2 linked regions of the Tribolium castaneum genome follow. The protein of the gene in region 2 interacts with the protein of the main gene of each other region in a biochemical or structural test. Links are inferred from orthologs where the notes say so. Each region holds a gene or a part of one and is shown on either strand. Other genes may lie near its edges.

The links.
Region 1: the proteins of hyd (region 2) and Duba form a complex in vitro, tested with the Homo sapiens proteins (2 studies listed by BioGRID, with this or other methods). The link is inferred for Tribolium castaneum from reciprocal best matches to the Homo sapiens genes UBR5 and OTUD5.

What each region holds. Positions count from the first base shown.
Region 1 is NC_087403.1:2,180,712-2,192,307, reverse strand, and holds the start of Duba (OTU domain-containing protein 5-A), read right to left. Parts: upstream 5,268-11,596; 5' UTR 5,150-5,267; coding exon 5,081-5,149; intron 4,815-5,080; coding exon 4,726-4,814; intron 4,680-4,725; coding exon 4,187-4,679; intron 4,140-4,186; coding exon 3,983-4,139; intron 3,933-3,982; coding exon 3,718-3,932; intron 1,868-3,717; coding exon 1,606-1,867; intron 1,561-1,605; coding exon 1,303-1,560; intron 112-1,302; coding exon 1-111. Other genes in the region: Cyfip (cytoplasmic FMR1-interacting protein), read right to left, coding at 5,508-5,705, 5,753-5,900, 5,946-6,184, 6,232-6,530, 6,577-6,768, 6,816-7,384, 7,431-7,747, 7,794-7,876 and 5 more. UniProt on the Homo sapiens protein: Deubiquitinating enzyme that functions as a negative regulator of the innate immune system. Has peptidase activity towards 'Lys-48'- and 'Lys-63'-linked polyubiquitin chains. Can also cleave 'Lys-11'-linked ubiquitin chains (in vitro).
Region 2 is NC_087398.1:9,883,962-9,895,344, forward strand, and holds the start of hyd (E3 ubiquitin-protein ligase hyd), read right to left. Parts: upstream 7,505-11,383; coding exon 7,309-7,504; intron 7,232-7,308; coding exon 7,112-7,231; intron 7,064-7,111; coding exon 6,813-7,063; intron 6,766-6,812; coding exon 6,496-6,765; intron 6,447-6,495; coding exon 6,167-6,446; intron 6,119-6,166; coding exon 6,011-6,118; intron 5,790-6,010; coding exon 5,522-5,789; intron 5,470-5,521; coding exon 5,250-5,469; intron 5,203-5,249; coding exon 4,836-5,202; intron 4,770-4,835; coding exon 3,753-4,769; intron 3,492-3,752; coding exon 3,356-3,491; intron 3,236-3,355; coding exon 2,991-3,235; intron 2,940-2,990; coding exon 2,827-2,939; intron 2,773-2,826; coding exon 1,387-2,772; intron 1,363-1,386; exon of another isoform or gene 1,234-1,362; intron 1,109-1,233; coding exon 758-1,108; intron 708-757; coding exon 1-707. Other genes in the region: E3 ubiquitin-protein ligase hyd-like, read right to left, coding at 7,673-7,945, 7,996-8,177, 8,227-8,408, 8,556-8,922, 9,044-9,210, 9,295-9,495. UniProt on the Homo sapiens protein: E3 ubiquitin-protein ligase involved in different protein quality control pathways in the cytoplasm and nucleus. Mainly acts as a ubiquitin chain elongator that extends pre-ubiquitinated substrates.

The sequences.
Region 1 (11,596 bases), on a different chromosome or scaffold from region 2:
GTCCCGGAGATCCATGACGCTTCTTGGATCGCTGCTTAAGTTCAGCTAAGTAAGTTTTGCGCGACTCGGCCAGCACTTGGGCCATGATTTCCTGGTCATAATTGTCGTAATCTGTAAAAGTCACACACATTTTAAAATTAAATATTTCCGTGCATTTCCGCCAGATGTTTTCGGCTTGATGACAAAAGTTGACATTTTAGCGAAATTTTATTTTAATAAATCTAAATCGATTCGCCGGGCAAAAAAAATACGAGAATAAAACATTCATAACCATGCTTAAATAGGAAAAAAGAGTAAATGAGATAAATAAAATGTAAATGAAACAAAAAAAATGAGAATGAAAAAAGGGAAGTAAATAATAGTAAAAAGAATAATGCATTTTTTATTGATATTTAATATGCTGTTTGGTTGTATAATGTATAATACTTAAGATTGCTTGTTTTTTTTCGTACAACAGAATGTAACGGTAAATATTTTTTTCAATTACGTGTGGCTCTGGAAAAATAAATAAAAAGGAGATTTTTAATGTGTGTTTTCTTTAAATTGTCTTAAATTGTGACTGTCAAATATGTGGCATCATTGTCTAACAGCCGGTATCGGAAGTGTGAAACATAAAAACATTAAAAAAGAGTCAACAAAGTAAATTTGTATGCCCATATTTTTTATAATATAAATGTAGGAATTTTTTAAGATTTTTCCTGTAATCTACATTTGCTTCTCAAGAACGTGGTGCGCCAGTTTTTAAGTGCTCTGTATATTTTTTAAATTTAATCACTCACAATATGCAAAAAGTACAAAATAATATTCCATGTTTTTTTAAAAGCTTCCCCAAAGAATATATCTTAAATTGTCAGATACTTTAAATTACAATAACGTAATTAAATTGTAGTATGTTATAGCGAGTGACACATGAAGAAAAATTGTAAATGATAATGTTACTAAGTGAAAAAATATAATAACAAGTATAATAAAATAATAAAAGTTCAAAAGTTCAAAAAAATAAAAGTCAAAGTCATTAGTTTTAAAAGCTGCATCCAAAAATGCAAAAAATATAGGTGGTCCATTTAGCTGTACCTACAGCTTTTACAAGCTCTAATCTCTTCAGGAACCACGATTTTTGCCCAATTACATGTGGGCTTAGAATTTTTCTAAGCTAACCCTACCGTAATAACTCGATTATCCTGCGATGAAGCAGCGCATTTGGCCGGAGGGCTAGCTGAAAAAATCGCTAAAATATCAATTTTTGTCCGAAAAATGCACTTAATCGACGTCCATTTTGTTTGAAGCAAAAATCAGACAAACCTATATCACCGCGGTTTGATGGCCCGGCCCCAGCCGACTGATCCGAATCGGAATCAAAATCAAATTTAAAGTCCTCGTTGAAATTTTCATCATAGTCCGGGTTATTAACATCCTCGGCCGGGGGCTCAGAACGGCGCGGCGAAAATTTCGGAAATTCCTCCGGTGGTCCACCGCAGGCTCCCGCCACATCGCCCCCGCTGACGTCGGCCTCATAGCGGCTAGTCGATGGGGACGGCGCCCCAGCGCCTCGGGGGCTCGCTGCAAGGAAATGTTAAAAAACGCCATCGACTCACACTTGAGTACCTAGTGGTGTTGTCTTTGGCGAGTTGGACCCTTTGGGGGACTGCGATCCCTTCGGGGAGACCGAGCCTTTCCTCGACGAGCGCGAGCTGGACATGGTTGCTGATGTTATCGTTGAACTGCTACCACAGGAGTGTCCTTGGTTCTTCAAACGGCGTTCTGAGTCGCGAAAATATTGGATGTAGGACTCGCGAGCTACCTGTTCTTCGATGGCTTCGTTGGTGGCTTCAAAGTCGGTTGCTTTCAACTTGTCTTCTAGCATAGTCTAGAAAGATTCTGATTAGTCAAGACAACTGTCAATCAGGGCGCCAATTTCGGGTCTCACGGATGCACGTAACTAGATCCACGACAGACGAAAAAAAATATAATAACCTTTGTAATACAAAGCTAACACTTAGTAATTCAAAACAACACTATCTGTACGCATATATCACGTCGGAAAAAATTAATCTTCTAATATTTCCGAGTATTGTATTATACACCAACAGCCAATCAGAGAACAGAAACGTCCCGGACGATTATACCGCCATCTCGCGTCCACATACTTGTTGAAATCCCGCCACCAAAACTTGTAAATTTGTTAATTTATATGTGAAAATGTGTGCCTGGGTGTTTTTTTATGTTTGTTTTTATATTTTGCTAGTGAACATTGCGTGGTTTTTGAGTTTTCAACGTTGGCACCCCCTACTAGACAATGTAGTGATAGCAGTGCGGTACACAACTTAATTTGAATATTACATCGAAACTGTTGCAATAATTCACTTTGTGTGGGTTTAACAGTGCAAAGTGCAACCCCGTCCCAATTCACCGAAAAAATGGTATGTATAACCTCACATTCATTACGCCTAGTACGCTTAGTAATTTGACTTAAAAATGGCACTTACAAGGGATTGTGACTTGTCCCTGTGTGGATTTGAACGCACAGATAAGTTTAAGCGGTGAAAAAAACGCCTTTGTCATTTCTTACGTGTCGCTTCGATAAATGTAGATCGAAACACAGTGTAATAAAAGCGGTGCTGTACAGTGTGTCTCAAAATGTACCCCCATGGCTACAGATACGTTACACTCTCACCGGTTCTGAAGTGTTATTTCTGTCAATTTTATGACATCGCTTGTGGTTAGTGAAATGTTTATTAGGATTTATTAGTAATTTAATTTATTAGTAATACTGGCGTAAAAGCAAAAAAAAGTCTGAGCGAAGTGTGTACACGAATTCGCCTTAACTCGAATTTTACTTTTTTAAATTCGGATAACGAGGTTTCACTGTAGAATTTTTGTAATAAGAATTCGATTCCTCAAAATACATAAAAAAACGTCCAAAGCGAGCTAGTAGCTTCATTTTACATTGTAATAATACTGTAATGAGCGCGAGTCTAGGTTTTATGTGGGTTTTGTTGTACTTTTATTTATTTTGAAGAAAGTGATAGGCGTAATTGTTAAAATTTTGAGAATAATTCGTGAAAGCCCCTATAATTTTTACCGAAGTGTTTTCGATTACATCTACGCTACTGCCTTGTGACAGTGGCTGTGCTCCGCCCCTGAGGCTTCGTTATCTAACCGTTTTGCAGCCTTGAACAAAGGTGGGGCCTGCTACCTGGAGTGCGCACAGCAAGCAAAACCGTAACTTATCTCATGCGCAACATGAGGTTTCCCAGTGGCGTAACAATAACAAGTGAGTGTATATTTATTGATAAAAACAAGAAAATCACAAAAATACGACGACTGCGATTTCCCATCGTGATAAATTGAAATAAAATTTTATTTTACTATTTTTACGTTCCATATTTTAAATTTCACTGTTAAAAACCATTGTACTTGGTAGTTTGTACCGCGACAAAGCGGTTCCGACCGAGCTCCATCAGCACGTTTCTACAAGAAAAAAATTGATTAGTAACGAATAAGACAAAAATTCTACCAAAGAATTCTACAAAACTCGGCGCAAAAAATATTTTTTTCACGAATGGGCAAAAAACCCCGAACGTAATCAATTTAAATAATACATTTTTAATCAGCGGGAGCGAAGAAAGGGACATGTTTTGGTACGCCACTGTGTGGTTAGTATGTTATAAAAATTCAGTGACTTTTTTATGAATGGGAATTATTTGATTGGTTTACCTGTTCAATTAGCAACTCATCACTAGCCCGCAGAGCGTCATTGAACCTTCTTCTGTCAATATCAACGGTATGGTAATTGGGTAAACCTAAGCCTACCCCTACTGAAGGTTTATTTGGGTTACTAATAGAATTATAATGACACATCCTGTGGTATGATAATCTAATAGGCTCATATGAGTTAATTAATCTTGAACCATTGAATATATTGATTGGTGCTGGAAACGGCGTATTAGTAAAAATCAGGCGGAAGAAAGGCAAAAATTACTTATTTGGTAGCAATAAACTTCGATTGTCCTATTATATAACTCGCTCATTGCTTGTATTTCTAAATGGTTGCCATGTACGTTCCATATACGTTTCCGTGCAACGTATTTATCAAAATCCTCCGTCACGTAAGGTTCAAAGTAGTCACGGTTTTGAACCTTCCAGAAACAAATTAGAAAAAATCCCCACTTTGCGTACAACTTACGATGTAGTTCATGCAGTCCTGCCTGACTTGATAATGGAATTCTTGGTCGCCGTACACTTGGTCTGCTATCGACCGGAAGAGACAGGCCCCATCTTCGTTCATTTGCTTGATTTCGAACCCAAGGTTGGACATGCCGCGGGAAAATAACACGTCCCTTTTTTGCCACTCTTCATCCGGTATGTTCCGCTCTTTGAGGAGTCCCTGGTCATCGTACTCATCCTCGCTGTTGAAGCCCGTGTAGTCTTCCTTGTTCGCAGTCCCAGGTTCGTTGTTGTTGCAAGTGGGCTCAACAGCGACTGAGTCAACAACCGAATTACTCGCATTATTGTCATGTAGAGGCTCATTTGAGATATCGCGTTTAGCAACTCGTTCCCGTTTTTGTTCCCTCCGAACTTCCCGTTTTTGTTCGCGCTCGCGTTCCCTATCTCGCGCCCGATCTGGCTCTTTATATCGCTTCCTCAAACGCTCTTTCCGCTCAGTTGTTGACTTGACGCTGGAAGCAAGAATGAATTTTTCCGCGATTGAGGGTGGAAACTTACTAGGGGAACTGAGATCGGCGGCTTGAAGGGCTTGCCTCATTCAGAGAACTTATATCGTCTCTCCTACGCACCGCTCGCTCGGAATTCCCCTAAAAAAAGTCGGGCCTTAATTATTCGAACAAAGGAAGCCGACCTAGACAGCTCTTGAGCTAGTATTGGAAAGCAATCATTACCTACCTATTTTACATTATTACATTATTAAACCTATCTAATTACGCAATCGTGTACAAAATTTCAAGATCAAGCAAAGATTTCGCTAGTCCAACACGCTGACAATAAAGATAACACGATTTATGATTATGAAGTTTCTCCTTAAAAAAAGATCAAAAATGACAAGTTTAACATATCTACTCACATTTTGCTGACTATTGTCGCTTTTCTCCTCCGGATTCGCCGAAGGTCTTTTGGCTGGTAAAATTGTCATTGTCTAATTTTTCAAAATACAGAAAATACTACAAAATTATTGAATTATTTTCTATAGTTTGACAAATCTCTCAACTACTGTCAACACACGACGAACAGCTGCTATCAACAGTCACCAGCGGGACTAAGTCCCCGGTTGGCAGCCCTGAATTTGAAACAACGCGCGAAATAAAACACACTCAAGCAGGCATCGAAAATTTTATTATGAAAAATTAAAGCAATACCAATAAGGCCGATAATAAATGAGGGTGGGCGATACATTTGTAATGAGATTTACACATGTAGTAGGACTATAATAAATATAAAAGATTATAAAATGTTGAAAGCTGATTCCAACAAATGTATAAAATAAACGTGCTTCAACACTGGCGTAGATGTTCGGGTGCGTGGTAGTGCTGTTGCGGATTCATTGGGTAGACCGGTGGCGGGAAACAACGTACATGTTCAACCGACAACTCGTCGTTCTCACTCGACTTCAAAAACTTGTTCAAAATCGCAAAGATCTGCGAATTGAGCACTTGGAAGCGCCTGATCCTGTCCACCATTCTCTTCAAGCTCTGGGAAAGACAATTATAGACCGAAAACAACCGTACAACCAACATACAATGCCTTTCACAATTTCATCCTTCATGTCAACTCTTTGTACTCTCAGAATGTGGTAACAGAAATCGAGGGCCTCAAACCGCCTTTGCTGGTCCAGAAGCACGATCATTGTACACCCCGCCCAATGCAAACCTTCGCCAAACATTTCCCTGAAACACGGAATAAATAAAACGAAACATAAAGTCGGTACCCACTCGACAGTATATTCGTTCTCGCTAACTGGAATACAATAGACGAATTGTAAAGCCGACCACAAGCGATGGAACTCGGTGCATTCGTCAACGTTCATGACACCGTTAGCAGGCGGCGGTCCGACCCAAACCGAATCGTCCAGGAAGGTCCTTAATCGGTTCAAAACAACTTCAAAAATCGAGAGACCGCAGCACAGCCGCTCACGGGTCAATAAATCGCCCTCCTTCGATATCAAAGATTGCTACAAATTGGCGAAATAACAAACAGTTGTTTGCACATTTATCCAACCTTTGCAGTTCCTAACTTCTCTATATTTGGTACAATCTGCAAGGCGGCATATTTGGCTTCAAGCCGTTTCTGCTTCGTTTCGGGCTTCTCCCCTTCCTTGCAAAACGGCCGTGGGAGGATATTCTGAAACGGTGCCGCTTGCAACAAATCACAGACTTCCTCCTGTGACAAGGCCTGTTCCATCAGTAAACAAAACAGGATAATGTTCCCAAATTCTCGGAAATTGTGGAACAACTCGGTCCTGGCATCGGGGTATTGGACAATGTCGTTCAATTGGGCGTGGTAGTAACTTAACACACCTAAAATTCGTCTTATTAATTCCGCCCAAATCAAGCAAATCATTACCCGGTGAGCCGTAATCGTAACGTGGCAATTTGCACTGCTTTGGCATGACCTCCATTAGAGTTTTGGTGAATTGGAGGAGGTTCCCTTGGATCAGACTTTTGACAATTTTGAGGAGCTCCTCCATCACAACTGCAATGCCTTGATAACCCAAGAGTTTGCACATTGTGTGGAAATGCTGAGGCCCGACGAACCCTAAACCGTACTAGTTAAACAAAATTAGGACCATAAGCTAGATTTACCGGAATATTGGCCATACTGAGTCGTGTAGGCAAGGTTCAGTTGCTTGCTCCCCCACATGTAATGATGCGACATTTGCGGCGGCTTATCTCTGTGGACAGCCCCCGCGAAAGCAATCTGCCCCCGATACTTAGTAAATCTGTTCGTCGCGGCATTGTAGACGTAATTAGGCAAGAAATCGTAGTTCAGCTCCCAAAACACATGCAAGGTGATGCGGCCATAGGGCGCCAAAACGTTGTGATTAGCCTCACGATACATTGAATCGAAATCGTCAAGTGCGAGCCACTTGCTCAGCAATTTATGACACAACCGATTCACTTGTAGGAGGCCTTCCAGTTCCATAACCCCGGTTATGTCACCGCCTTCGAACTTACTTATTGCCAAATCGAGACTTTTCTGCATGTCGGTGTTGATCCTCTGAGTGATCAACTTATTCAAATCGATCGACCGCCCTAATAACTGGACGTGCCGCTGTTTTAGCAAGGTTTCGTAACGATTTGCTCGCGGGTAGGGGAGCAGGTAAGCCCCCAAGGCGGCACACTCCACTCTGAAGCGCTTATCAAGAAAGATACTGAAAGGATTGATTGTGAAAGCGTTCCCATGATTTTTATCAATACCTTGCCGCCAGTTGTTTATAGTACGCGAAAATTTGCTCGCTCAGTTTATAAACAAACTGATCAAAACATAAATTAACTTCAGCCTCGACCTCATCGTATAAAAATTGCTTTCGGAATATTGTCAGTGCGTAAAGCGCGCTATCATTGTATAAATCAAGCGGGTACAAGACGTACTCCATCATCGAGGGTTCCTTAGTTTTCAAAATATGATCAGTCAAAATCCAAGGCATGGACATGTCGATTGGGAATTGTATGCGTTTTTCCATCGTGATCAAATCGTTACATTCTTCGTTATGAGCGTGACGCACGGTGCATTTCTATGAAAAGTTTGGCAAATTTTTGGCAAAATTACGCGTTACTCACGTTTATTCTCCGTCCCATGGTCATCTCGAGGTAGAACTCTCTGTACCACAGCTGCGACAGGTCGCAACATTGCTGCAACGATTCTGGGAGGAAATGAATTAATATCAATGTTTTTGTACGTACCACTGAAACTGAGAAGATAATTCCAGTAGAAGGAGGTTTTGTGGAACTGGTCAATTTGCATTAAATATTGACCGTCTATGTCCTTCCTCAGGGTTCTTTTGCCGCCTGATTTATCGGCAATTAGCGACTCCAGCATTGTCCTGACCATGTAAAGTTGGGTGGAGGAAGGACCCACGTTTCTCCTTGGCACTTTAACATTAAACCCGTTATCGTCCTTTTTGCCCCTCAAAGCCGGGTCTTGAGTCGGCTCGACACCTCTCTGCCAATCAGCGCAAGTTTCTCGCACCGACATAATGATACTAAAAAAACGTGTTACGTGATGTGGACACAAAAACGCGCTACCTTCTGATAAGATCCTTTTTATTTTTAATTGCTTTCCTCAGCGGTTCCCTCAAAATAATCTGTACGAAATCTTGCAATTCGGCGTAAATATTCCGCCGAATTGCGTCAGTGAACACCGTTTCCATTCTGGCCATCAGCACTTGTAATCCCTTAATCATCGCAATGACTTCAATTAGCGCGAATTTTTCCTCGTCGCTGTAATTATACCGTGTCGCCCTTTCGTATTCCTCGGCCTCTTGTGGGCACTCTTTATTCTGATGGTGGTCAGTTGGGTGTAAAAGCTTCCATGAATACAGTTCCGTTACAACACTTGTCCATTCAGACAGTAATTGTAATCCGCGGAGCGCAAGTTCGGCCGTTTCTTTATTTTCAGCGTCAGTACCGCTTTCTTTGTATGTTGTCGTGACTTCGTTACTGTATCGCGCTAATTCGCTTATGTACTTAACATGATCGTCACGAATTTGGGGCAAATGTACCATTAAATCGGCTTGGGGAGAGGGAGTATTGCTACTTGATAAAGGCCATTTGCTTGGGTCGAAATGCTTGCTCCGCTTTATGTAGTTGAAAGGGGCGATCTGCATGTCCCCGAACAAAGGGACAACCTCCAAGTTCTACGAAAAAACGGGCTTTCTCGTATTTTGGTCAAATGTTGTAGATTTATAAACCAGTCGTGATTTTATTTAAGCATTAAATATAAAATTTGCCACCGATCTGGCAAGAATGTTAAGTCAAGAGCTTACTCATTATACAGTTTCTCTGATTAATTATTGAAAATCATTTTTGACGTAAGTACACAAAATTTAAACTTTATAATCTGAATATACAAAGCGATTTTTGAGAGTAAATTCTAATTTTGTTTGTAGTTTGTATTAAATACACAAAATTGTATCGTCACGCAGATTACGTAACTATGCAAAATTTCAATTCATTCGGATAACAAAAACTAAAGGACTAATTGAACTAATTTAAGCTTGAACAGAGTTATTCAATCAAATGCGAGTTGCTTTTATATTTTTTGCCACTCACTTTGAAAATCCGGTCAATGCGGTCCAGCCTCAATTTCTTCTTCTGGTCTAGCTTATTAATATTGCACAACTCGCTGTCCATCAGGAAAAGCCCGAAGCCCATAACTTTAACAAGCATGTGTTTTTCGCTGGGTGTGAGGTACATTTTCGTTTCAAACATGTGCACGCAAATGTTGACAACATCAGCTAGCAATTCCTCATAGCCACTGATTCGTTCCAGATTCTCCTTAACAGCATCCCTAATTTTATTTTGTGTGGCTAAGAACATCGATAAATTTTGTGATTCTTGAAGTGTTTGTGAATCAGACATGACTTTCAAAAATTGTGCTGCTCTTCTGTATGTGGAATAGTCGTTTTTGACACTTGATTTCATGTTTTTTAACTCGTCTAAGACGGCAAACATGTTTATGAACTTTCCCAAAGTGAGGAGATAGGCTTCTGAGACAAAGTCTTTCCTTTTTTCGGTGTGACATAATCGTTTTACTTCTTCGAAAAACCGCTCGATTGCTTTTTTCTGAAATGATTAAGGGAGTCCTAACCGGGTTGAGTTAAAAGGGGCTTACTTGAAAATACATAAAGTTCAAGAGTTTGTTCACTTCGGGGGCGAGCACTTCGACAGTTTTCTCGTAAATTTCGACCCGATTTGGTTGTTCGTTAGATTTGGGCTGAGGAATGGCTCTAGAGCAGCACCTCCACGTGTAGAGCATGACAGCATGCTCCTGCCCTTCCTCTAATAACTCGTTCTGTAAATGACCTGACTGACACAGGGGACACAAATGGCTCATTTAATAATTACGAGACTTGCGTGTACTGTTGCCTCTTCAATGTATTTGGCAATTCCTGTCACAAACCCGTTCCGATCTTCGAAATTTGTATCAAAATTCGCCTGATAGACAACTGAGCAAGGTTGGGCCTCAATGCACGGTTGTTCATCAGGCAAAGGAAGTTCGTCTAGTACATCAACGTTGGATAATGCGTCACTCAGCGAAACTCGATCAGTTCCTGCCATTTCAAGCACTCCACTTGCTGTTTTTCCAGAGAGAAAATAATTTAATCAATCTGGAAAAAACCAAATTTGAGACTGCAGTCAATGGAACCACACAAAAACACACTCTTAGAAACATGGCCCAGAACGTGGCTATTTGTTATCAACAACAAACTTAACTAATTTTGTGCTATTTTAGAAATATTTAACATTTTTAGGTGCGGCATTAGACAAGTAAACAAATGACAAATATAAAACTAGAGTGTCAAGAACCCCATGCAATAAAAGTTACTAGGATTGTGGCCATATTTCCGGCCGAGTTAGTTGGAACGCCAACCAAGAGGTGGTGCGCTCAGTTAAACGTTCAAATATATATTAAAGAAAAAAATCGTTACACCGAATTGATTTCCTCGCCGTGTAATTATTTTTGATAAGTGTTTTTTTCTATATTTGGTTCAGAAATTACTCAAGAACACTTTCAGTTATTTTAGTCCACGTTAGTAGAACGCAAAAAACTTTCCTTTCAATTATTTTAGAACAAAAAGTGCATGAAATTGTTAATAGAATTGTTGCAAGAGCACAGTAATATTGTTTATTCTCATTTCGATATAATTGTATGGAAGTGTTATCACATCATATCAGTTAAAAAATCGAACGAATAAAAAAGTTGATTTGCAATATCGCCAGTTAATTTAATGAATTTTCGGGCCGCAATCGGGTCCTTTAGTTTGGTATTTTAGTGCCAAAGGAGCTCTCAGTGAGGAAAATAAAAAAGTTAGTGTGCAGTCGAGTTTTAAGCGACAGCTTGTTATGTTTATAATTCCGAAATTCTTAGCGTTTCTTGTCCTTTCATCATTCGAATTCATCTGAATTCGTTAGTGCTTTAAAAAATCGTTGAAAATCTATCTCGGTGAAACATTCATGACATTTGACGGTTTCGGCGTGAGCGGCCGCTCTTTATGCGCCTTCATAATAAAATCAATCATTTTTTAGTCGCAAATTAATTAAAAAAGTGACATTCCTAAACAGCTTGTTATGTGGTTACAAGTAATAAAGCCTGTTAATTGATTAGGTTTTAAATGAAAATTCTCTTTGAAAAGATACCGGCAAATAAAACAAAATCATTAATAATGAAACGTAAATATTGTATGCAATTTGCTGATAACAATGTTATTATCTTTAAGATTTTTTTCATCGGGGAATAAAGTGAGCGTATGCCATTTGTTCAGTTTATTAATTATCTCTATTTATTTTACAATTTATTATAATAAATTTGCATGCACTTGTTCATTAGTTTGCGATAAATTAATTAAACAGCGGGTTCAAGA
Region 2 (11,383 bases):
ACATCCAATTCGAGCAGCGCTTCCGACGTCAATTCTTGCTGGGAATGTAAGTGTGCTAGAATCATTTCGACCGCCTCTTCAACTTTGGCCCTCAGCGAGTCTTCGGACGCTAAAAGAAGCAACAATTGAGCTGGTGATAACTCCAGAAGCATTCCGGTGATTCTTCCGGCGAAATTCGGATGCAAATTGTACACTTTGGGATATAGACGGTCACCTAGTTGTTGTTGGTGCGCGGAGAGTTGTTCGTTACGATTTTGATTTCCCGTGGGATTCCCCCCTGATGTCGACAGATCAGGCATTGACGGCGCATCCGAATGGAAATTATCGCTCGGAACGAACGGTCTCGCATCGACATTCATCGTTCGACGGTGTTCACGCGACCGATTTGAACCTCTCATTGGCACGGTTCGGCGCAACACGTCTCGGTCGCGCCGCAGTCGCTGCAAAACGCTGTATTGGGTGTACTTATTATCGACTTGAGCCGACTCCAAATTCGGGAGCTTCTCATTGGATAAAATCGCTTCGGCTATCGCCGTATAAAAGCTACGAGCGACGCCCGATCCTTCACCAGGTTCGTCCTTGAACGTCACTTTCACTCGATTCACCGCCAGAGGGGGCGACGATGAATTGCGGCGGTTGTAGTTGTTGTACTGAGTGTTCAATTCTTTGAATGTCATCAGGAGAAGTTGAGTGCGATCTCTTTCCATCTACAGACACAAAAATGCAATCAACAATTCGCATCAATTTCGATAAATACCTTCGAAAGAGTCAAGTCTTTTTGCTGGTTGTTTCGTAATTTCTCCATGTCTCGTCGAAATTTAGCTTCTTTCACTGGGAATCCACCTAATTCGGAAACGATAGAGCCCGGTTCCAGTCCGACATCTTCCATGAAAACGCGACCGAAAAGATCGAGAGAAAGCCTCCAACGACCCAATAGTAAATCGTGCGATACGGACTGACCAATCGTCGGACGTAAAACATCAGTATTGAGGCTCGGGGTTGTTACGACAGTTACGTTGGCTGATATTTCCTGATTTTCTAACGTTTCCGGTTGTTGAGAATCGACAGACATCATCACGTTCGAATCATTCGATTTTTGCTGATTACTCTGCAAAAAACAATCTCACATTCAGTATGAACGTAACACATTTATCACGTCATATTTAAAAAAATCGGAAGTTCCAAATATATTTTAATATTTTTGGGTGTTAGACGCCTTGTATTATTTTACAGAAATGTATGCCCCGTATCTGTCCTTGGTTCAAAGCTCGACAAACCAAAGTCATCAGAGAGCAATTCGTTCTAGGACCTGAGTGTGATACGCCCGTTATGTTAAGCTTGAGCGTACGTATCGTAGGTCCACGCGATATTTTTTCTACAACTTACCATTGACGATCCCGCTCGAACTATCACACTCTTGCTTGGACTTCTGGAGGATGGAGTCGTCGATCCACTACTATAATCCTGTGTGGCTTCGCTCGAACCATTCAAACCTTCTTGTTGCTCCTGACTCGAAACTTCGGAAATTTTTCTCGGCGAGACGATAATCTGCGGCCTCGATGTCGGTACTTCTTGATTATGTCGCGAGGATAAGTCATGCGGAGTGTTTTCTTTGCTATTTTCGCCAATTTCATTCTTAACAGCGGCGAGGAGACTCTCAAAAGTTTGCAAGTTCTTGTTTTTGGTTTCATCGGATGTTGACGGTTCGTTGGAGTAGGTTTCAGTCTGGACGTGCACTTCTCGAGCGTTTGTTTCTGTTTCTGGGTTGTAATTTTGGGGGTAAATCAAGGGGTTAGGGCCCATAACGTTTAACGATTGGGAAATTGGGTGGTTGGCTTTTGCCGGTTGACTCATCGCAAAATCGGTAGTTCGAGTCGAAAGACTCAATTTCGTAGGAAGTGATTCGAGAGGATTGTTTGAAATGGTTCCAGTGGAGGCCAAAGTGATTGGTTGTTTCGGAATCCCAAACAAATCTTCCCTTCTTGCATTGGGTTGTAGGAGATGAGGTTGGTCGGCCAGTGGTAGTGCTTCAGCCATTGGCGTTTCAAAAGGATCTGGTGGAGGACAACCTAGACACAAAGTGGATTCCGATCGTTGGAAAAACGAATGTTTGCGACCTTTTCCCGACCCTCCTTGCAAACTCGACGAATTTAAAGTACTCGAAATCGTCGCAAGATTAGAAACATCTTGGTCTTCCAAACTTTCAGTTTCCATTGCCACGGCTATGTCTTCCTCAGCTTCTTCGTTCTCGTTCTCGTCTTGATCGTTCCACAACGGAAGCGAAAAACCATCACGTCGCAAGTCAGTATCATTGCGGTCAGATGATCCCGACCTCATAAAATAAATCAGAGCATCGAAAACATAAGCAACGTGTTTCAAAGCCGAAACGTCCAAAATCGGTAACGAATCCAAATGTTCGTTGTTGTGAGCTCTCATTAATGACAAACAATAGGAGAGAAATTCTCTCCGGGCCGCGTGAGCGTCCACACCATCGCGTTCAGGTCGAGTTCGACTTTCCACGTTTGTGGTAAAACCGACCAATCGTGTACCAGAACTACTGGAAATGGTATGACCCCGGTGACCACTCGATCGAAGATTGCTTGAATTATTTGCCGAGACTCCGGTCGTAATTCCGGTATTGAGCGGATGACCTGGACTCGAAAGATCGAGAGAATTGGTTAGAGATGCACCGAATTTCAGTTGGGCTTCAGTGGCGTCCATCACTGTCAAAAGCCAATCCCAGGTCGGCTTCAGGCGGAATTCTAGATAAATCTACGAAGCAACAACCAGTCATGTGTCCAGTTAGAAAAATTACTAAAAACTCACTTGTATGTTGTAGATATCATCTTGTGACACTTCCATGTGTGCAACAGTCGACAAGGCTTGATTCAGGTCAGGCAGTGAGGATAACAAGTCCGTGATTTGGCGAATAATTGCGCCTGTAATGATTAGTAAGTTAAAAAATACAAGTACGTAAAAGCTGTACTTACCGAAGGCCCTAGCTAAGGAACTGGCCGATGTGGACATGGCCACCGGTTCCGAGCTTGCAGCGACCGCCGTACTTCCAGTCGTAGATCGTCTTAACGTACTGGGATCAATAAAAACTAAATTAGAACCGTTGGCCAATCGAACACCAGCCGATCTGCTTGCTTCACGTGACCGTATTGCCCATTGCATATTCTGCGGGGCCAAATTGCTCCTCTGTCCATGACCGGTCGTATTGCTGTAACGGCTTCTTTCATAGACAATAATCAGAGTAATGAGAAACACAAAAAACATCACTAAATCAAGAGCCAATAATCATAATAAAATAAATTACTTGAAGAAAAATGCTAAGAAAAATTGTCAAATTTACCTTCTTCGCTCCAACTGTTCATCCGTCAACGTATAATCTTCAGTGTCCTGTTCGTCAGTTTCGCCCGCTTCGCTCTCTTCCTCTTCCTGTTGGCTTGACTCGCCGCTTTCGTCTTCCGGGAACAGCAGCATACCTCCTGATAAGTTACACAGAATTGCATACACATGCAACCAACCACCCGCTCTCACACGCCTATATTAAAATATACTGCCTTAGACCCTGTGTGTATCGTCGGCACACAAGAAATAAATTGCTGAATGCAATACGTTATTAAGATAATGCGATGTTTGAAACATTGTTTTTTTAAATTATGTCTTTTTTTTGCAGTATAGATTAATATAGGTATGAGCTAGCTCCTCACTCTCTCCCTTTCTCTCCACCAATCAAATTGACTTACCGGTATCAGATCCGGCCGTTGCTCCCGTCTGTACCGACCTCTGTGCAGATGCAGCATCCTGATTACTATGATTATCATCACTATCCGACTCCGTCTCCGCCAACAGATCCAATTCGGGATCGCTTTCCTCGCCTTGGATTCGACTTTCCTGTTGGTACGGAGCAGCTTCGACCGTTTCATTTTCATTAGTCGACGACTGTCTAACAGTAATTGGCAATTCACGATCAGCGGGAACATCCTCATGTTCGGACGCATTATCATCGTCATTATCAATCGCCATACTTTCACCATCATTCAAATTCAATAAATCGCGAGCGTTTGCCAGATCGCGTGCATTAGCGGCCGCTCTTCGCACAGCTTCGGCCAAAAACGGAAACCGCGGCATTGTTGAAGACCCAGAAGGTCGTGAACTCGACGGTGCTAAAGGATCAACTAGGAATAATTCTTCCGATCCGTTTAGAACGTCATTTACGGATGTTGCAAGTGAAAAGGGGGCAGTTGGTCGTGCTACGCCCAATCGAACCGGTGCCATAATAGCGTCAGCGCTCTCACACAGCTCCTCAATCGATAGTTTGCTCAAAGCTTGGAATATTTTGCGACATTTAGTCAACGGTTGGTTTTGGTTGCTTAAACTGCGTCGTTTCGTCGAGTTCGGTGCCATTTCGATGGAAAAAACGACAAAAATACGCACAACTGAGCGGACGAATCGCCGCGAAACCATTGTGGCGTATTGGGCTTGTTTCGCATCTGGATTTTTCATTTCTCTGATCAAGGTTTCGAGAAGTACGTCGATTACCATTTGGCATTTGACAAGGAAACACAAGGAGAATTTATCCAAAAGTGCCGTTCCGGTCTGTTTGGAGACGTAAGGTTGTTCGGTGAATTGTGTTTCGGAAACGTCTCGAGTCCCCGACATTATCATACTTTGAACGGCTTTCCAGTCGCCTAAAAGGCACTCCAAAGCTCGACGACTGAATCTGGGAGGCTCTAAATCATGCTCGGGCATATCGGTCTCAACTGAAACAGAAGGAGAATACACAAACGGACAGTTAATACGAGTCAAATAAGAATAAAGAGTCTCACTATCTGAAGAAGGTGTTTTATTTCGGGAATTTGCCGATGCCGTCCTGGGCCTGGTGTGACGAAACTGTCGCTGTTCTTGATTTTGTCGACCAACAGTTTGGACCAAAAACAGCAAGATACTTTCGCCGCGTGAATTCGGCAAACAGACGAGATCGGTTTCTTTAACCAAACGTGTCAAAAGTTCGTAACGGACCGTTTGGTTCCCCATTATCAATGCTTTGCATTTACATTTCTCCCAGCAGTCGCAGTAAGCCGTAGGCGAAGTCCTTTTTAACTTGCAATCGTGGCCTTTGTGGCAAACACGCGCACACTCCGTACAGCAGCAAAGCGTTCCGGTGAGGCCACAAGTGCGACATTCAAAAATATCCTACAATTTTAATTACAAAAACTATTTTTTTTCGTACCATGTCTTACTTGATTGATGTGTTCGGCCCCAGTCCAGGTAAAACTACACGTGTCGTTGCAGCACAGAACATGCAGAGGTGAGTGATCCGGATTTGAACCTTTCGGAAAGATCATCTCTTCGCGTTCCTGAGGAGTCCCCAATTTAATGATTCTTTCGAAAATTTCCAACGCGGCTGGATAACTTCGCGACGATACGGCCAACATGAACGGAGTTTGACCTTGTGCATCCCTAAAACCAATCCCAATGGTTATTTAATCAAACTCGCAGAGAAAAAAATTACTTTGCACATAAAAGCTCGATGAGATGCGACTCCAAAGCCGAGGAATCATACAAAAGCGCGTGTAAGATTTGCATCGCGTTTGATCGTCTTTCAACTGGATCGACGACGAGATTCGTCGGTGCGTTACTGTTGTTTCCGCTCCCTTTATTATTGGCAGCACTGCTTCCCAAACCCATCAGACTATCCTCATCGCCTGACGTAACATCGAAGCTTTCCGGTGGCCAACTGTGTGTCGGTATCGGTTCTTCTTGGACGAAACTGTGCTGATCTGCAGAGTTAGAAGTATTGTTGAGTGCGCTTTCGCTACGTACAACGGCTCTACGCATCATATCGCGTAGCGTAACTGATCGAGGGCCTACGGCGTTCGTTATCACATTGATACATTCCAGGCCAGCTGACGGGTCTGGAAATGACGATCCCAACAAATCAAGCTACGCACGCGACTTGAGCCTAACGTAATCACCTAAAGCATAAATTTGGCCAACTCACCGCTTTCAGTTTCCTTGTTCGACGTCGGCGTACACATGTTCACAACAGCGTGGAAAATGTTACGATTGCCGTCGCAACGTTCGTTTAAGATATTCGAAATGTTGGCTTCTGAAAATTTTTCATCACAATATCACACGGGAAAATAGTAAAACTTACTCAAATCGCTGTCTAGTTGGGCCAAAACTTGCCGGACGCCATCAATATCACAACGTAGTATTTTCGGCATGAGTAGTTGTTGTTCAAGTGCAAAGACAACAATAGCCACTTGATTCTTCATGTTGAGGCCGGTTCCAGTCAAACCAAATGTACCAGCTGTCAGGCACTTGACTGGAGGCAAGTCTAGACATTGTGGGTCGCGAATCGCATCGGCGCAATCTTTACTGAGGGGGTAAATCGTGCTGTTACCGTCGCGCAAAACCAAAATTGTTTCAGAACTCTGAAATACAAACAATGTAACAATCAGGCAAACACTACAAACGACATACTTCTCCAGCACAAATCAAGTTGATCAAATGTGGATAGAGCCCCATGAACGAAGCAGTGTCGCTCGGAAATGGATTATCTTGTTCAATTCTTCCGCTACTGACGTTGTAAACGACATAACTCAATTTACTCCCGTTCCGAACTATGGCATGTATGCCTTGTCCATCAACGGCAATCGTGAGAATTTGATTGCTATTGTCGGAAATTTGGATACGTCGAGGTGTTTTTTGAAAACAGTCAGGAACGCGTGAATTAGACGACGATTTGATCACCTACAAAACACAAATAATTTTGACCGAAACCAAATTATTGTTCATACTTGGAGGTCGTCCTTGCGCATCAATCGACAATCTTGGAAAATATCGTCGGCATCTTTGGCGTCACGATCTCTGGAATGTCCACTTGGAAATCTGACGGCGGCGTAAGCACCGTCCACTTTCAAAACGCGACCTGCTGGAACACTTCGTACATCTTCCACGAAAATTACATTCCGTAGAAGCCACTCCTCTTCGTCTTTTCTTTGCTCCGAACCGGTGTCGCTCCCAGACACGGTCATGCGTTTTTGGCGCTCTTTAATTGTTTTATTAATTGGTTTTACAATAACTGTAGAAAACTTACTGTGACTGTTTGAAATACTTCCGGTATCGCTGCAAGTACTCGAAGCCGGCGATGGTGGCGGTGGCATATCAAGCCTATCGGCGTTTTCTTTATTCGACGAACTTTTATTTGTTAAATTCGCTGCAACGAACATTAACCCCGTAAACATTTAAGTCCAGTACAGATAAAATAGTTTATAAATATCAAAAAAGACTTACATAACCCGCTAGGGCCCGGCACGGCATCTCTCCCCTTATCGGCACTCGAAGCTCCACTCGTTTGCACGTTGATAATCTTAAAAGTGCAAGTATCGCTCAACGTCCAAGCCGCATTCTGTAATTGGCCCACTTTTGGTACTCCATTGGCGATGGTAAACCCTATCGCACCCGCTTGATACATGGGACTGTTCTTCATACAAACTTGCGACCCAGTAACGATCTCTGATTGATTGTTTGAAGGTCTTTGTTTCCGGCACTTTGTACGGTATTTCTCCCACAATCGTTTGCGTTGAGCAAACGGTTAAAACGCCCCTTTAATCAATTTTTTTAGCAAAATGGGTCAATAATATACGTGAATCAATACTCACCACCAGTACAAAGCACCACTTTCAAGCTTCGCAACCGTGTACAACGGACACGTGTACAAAGCTGCAACCTTGTCAGTTTGAAACTCGGAATAGGCCTGAGCTGAATGTTCCAATTTAGCTGCTGCTGGCGCCAAAAGCTCGTCTAACCAAGTGGCGACTTTGCCGCTTTCGGTTGAGACCGAGCAACGGGTGCAACAAGCCGAGAGATGGACGATTTTTTCGCCCATTAGACCCAAAGGAACTGTCTTGGGGTGATGTATGTTACAATTCTGGAACGAATAAATGCATTTCGGTTGGTTTCAAGTGTCTATGAACGTACCTCTGGATGTCTGTAAGGTTCGGGGTCGTTCCAACGCCATTGAAACAATTGTCCGTTACTCGACAATGCGATTAATTCCGAGTAGAGACTCGCAATTTGGACGAATTTCGGTGCAGAATCGGGCCAAAATTCCAAGTCGTCGGAAATCCAAAGTGGACACGCGCTGTCTTTCTTCTTGTGATCTAAATTTGGTATTTAATGTCGTATTCAATAAAAATCACTAGCACCAACCTGAATCTTTTTCGTACGGACTTTCCCTTAGTGCCGTTTCAAGCCACCTCCTAGGTCCGAAATACTGACGATCTCTCCACCTCGAAAAATTCTCTCTGTCTCGATCTGAATTCGAACTATTGCTCGGTGGTGCATCTCTGTCGGCCAATCGACTCCTTCCACTGCCGCGACTATTAAGGAAGCTTGTTTGAGCAAAGTCAAACATTCCCAACGAGTTAGTTAAAATGCAAAAAAAATAGAAAAAAATGCAAGCGATAGAGTTGTTAACCAACAAAAAAAGCGCAACTACACAAAAAGCGAGTCAAACAGATCAAACCAAAAATCCTTACTTCCTAATGCCCGAATATCCAAACATATCTTCGGAAAACATCGCATCAGCATCGATTATCACCGAATGATCGGTATGAAACCCTCCGTCAAGCAGCGAAATTAGATCCTCTGGAACGTAAGAATCAGCTGCATCGTCTCCTTCCTCTCCTTCTTCATCATCGCGCGACAATAAATTATTAACGGCTAAATTAACATCAAGATTTGTGCGTTGCAACTCCCGTATTATCAAATTCCGGCTCTTCCCCTGAAGCACCACCTGAGCTTGCGAAACCAGCTCTTCTGGGACGTAGGGCGCTGGCACCGTCACCATCGGCCTTCCACTGCTCGAACTGCTCGTTCCTATGATAACCGGAGCACCACGACCGCCTGAAAGTAAAGGACTCTGTACATTTAAGGACGACAGAGTTAAACCAAGTATATTGCCCTGAAAAGGGTCTGGACAAACACTAAATCTTCATATGAACGAAATACAGAGGAAGAAACTCACCGCTATTGCTTCCACCTCTGATGGCCGTATTCGAGCGCATAATCCTGGCCCTGGTCCTGGGCATCTGTCTTCCGCTTCCGGTGGGTTTGCTGCTGCCGCTGCCACCGCCAGCACCACCGCTTGAGCCGCCAGTAGCACCGCCACCGGAACTACGCAACAACCAAGGTCTTTGGTTGGTGGAAACGAACAGATTTAATAAGGCACAGTGTTAAAAATGGACACAACGACGACACTGTGCGTCAAATACTCACTTTTTAGTCGAGTCATTTTTGCTGAGGTCTAAACGGTCGGAGAGGACGTTGTAGGAAACACGACATACACGGCCATCGTCGAGAAGAAGGGCGATAAACGAAGGGCCGAGACAGATTTTTTTTATACCGGAACGGAGGCTGGACAGACCTGGGTGCGAGGTGTGGCCGAGGCGGTTGATTCTATCAGCTACTTCTTTCAGTCTAAAAGAACAGAAAGAAGGTACAGACTATATTCTTGATCATTACTAGAGAGAAGTACTATTATCTAGATCAATGTTTCCCCACCAAAAGTTCGCCAAAAAAGTATTGTTATGGCGGAATTTTAAAACGCTAACGTACAAAATTACAAAATGAAGTTAAGGAACAATAAGCGGCAGCAACTCATCTCCATGGGCCACAAATTTTATATGTTTACTGTTTTTGTCCCAAGAAATTTCTTAAAAAATTAGCTGTTTTCATCGGAAGATTTTATCAAAAATTAGATAGACTTCTGTCTTTTCAGTGCGTTATTTCGTACTTACACCTAAAATCACCACTTTGTGTCTATAAAAAAGGAAACAATTACGGCGAAACTATAACCCTTAGAGCAAAACAGTTTGTTCCATCGTAAAGAACAGATAAAAATCTATACAATATATTTTTTTTCTTAAAATTTTGAATGTTTAGAAGATAGTATTTACAATTTTTTTCTCAATTACGGCAAAACTATTCGAAAAAGTAGAACTATTTTGATACTATCTTATGTAAAATGATCAGGAAAATTGATTAACATCAAGAAAATATCCATATTACCAATAGTTTTTTGTTTATAATTTTTTTATTTTACCTATTTTTGTTTCATGAATCAAGATACATTTTAGGTATTAAACAATATTATGGGTAAAAATAAGCGTTTCGAATAAGAATTGTAATAAAGAAGGACACATCTACCGAAAAATTATTAGCCAAGTTAAAGTTTTTAGCAAAAAAAGACATTCTGTTATTTATTTAAACTAAATTCTTCTTCAGTCGAAGTTTAAAAAAAAATAATTATACTTTTGTCGGTTCCTTCGCCAAGTGTGATGTAAAGAGCTTTATTTAATTGTTTTCTGTTTGATAATTATTTTGCATTTCCCTTATTTTTTTGTTAAAAATTTTTGTCTCCACATTTACATTAAAAATTGTTAGCGATACGGTATTTGCCCCTATTTCTGTTTTCGTATCGAAATTTTTCTGGCACTTAATCACCTTTTTTCAAAATAATTCAACACTTGCTGTACTAAAATTACTATCTAATTTTACTATGTTAATAATTCGAAAATAAAAATATATAAATAATATCACATTATCAACAATTTAGTAGATTTTTTTTAATTCGTATTCATTAGCATTCAGTTTGTGCAACAAGGAAAATAAATGTCCTCCTAATTTTTATTCTTTTTTTAATAAAGGGTTCGTAAAAAAAAAGAATGAGTGAATTAAAAAAAAAATAATTTATTCGATGGTTGGATATAAAGCTCTTTCCAAATTTACTGACATGTCATTATCTGGTAGTACAATTATCTGATTTTTAGATTATTGTTAACATTTTATTAAAGACGTAACAAATGTGTTATACAAGATGCCCGAAGTAGTAAAAAATTCGGACAACCTACAGGGTGACTTAAAATTGACAGATTTCGAGTTCAGAGCATTATAGAGAATTGCTTCAGTATTCCAAACATAGAAAAGATTTGGAGCTTCTCCACAAAGATTTGTTTGAAGATCACTCTTTGAATTGCGTTTTCTTCAAATGCAGAACTAAAGTTTTAGTGTATATTGTTATTTATGGTGAAGATGATTGCGGAGAATAACAATGTAAAACAATTTCTCAAAAAAATAACTCGGCACTCACAAATCTTGAGACACCCTGTATATGTCAGTCGCAATCGCAATTATCTGGCATGCAAAAATAATCTCAGAATTTTAATTGCCGGTACCAAGAACTGTGGATTTTACACGGACTTTACTTATTCATTGATAGGAGCATGACACGAAAGTTGCTATAAATTAAGCATTCTTTTGCTAGATAAGTCAGCAGATAAATGTAAATTTTGAACAAAGCCATGCC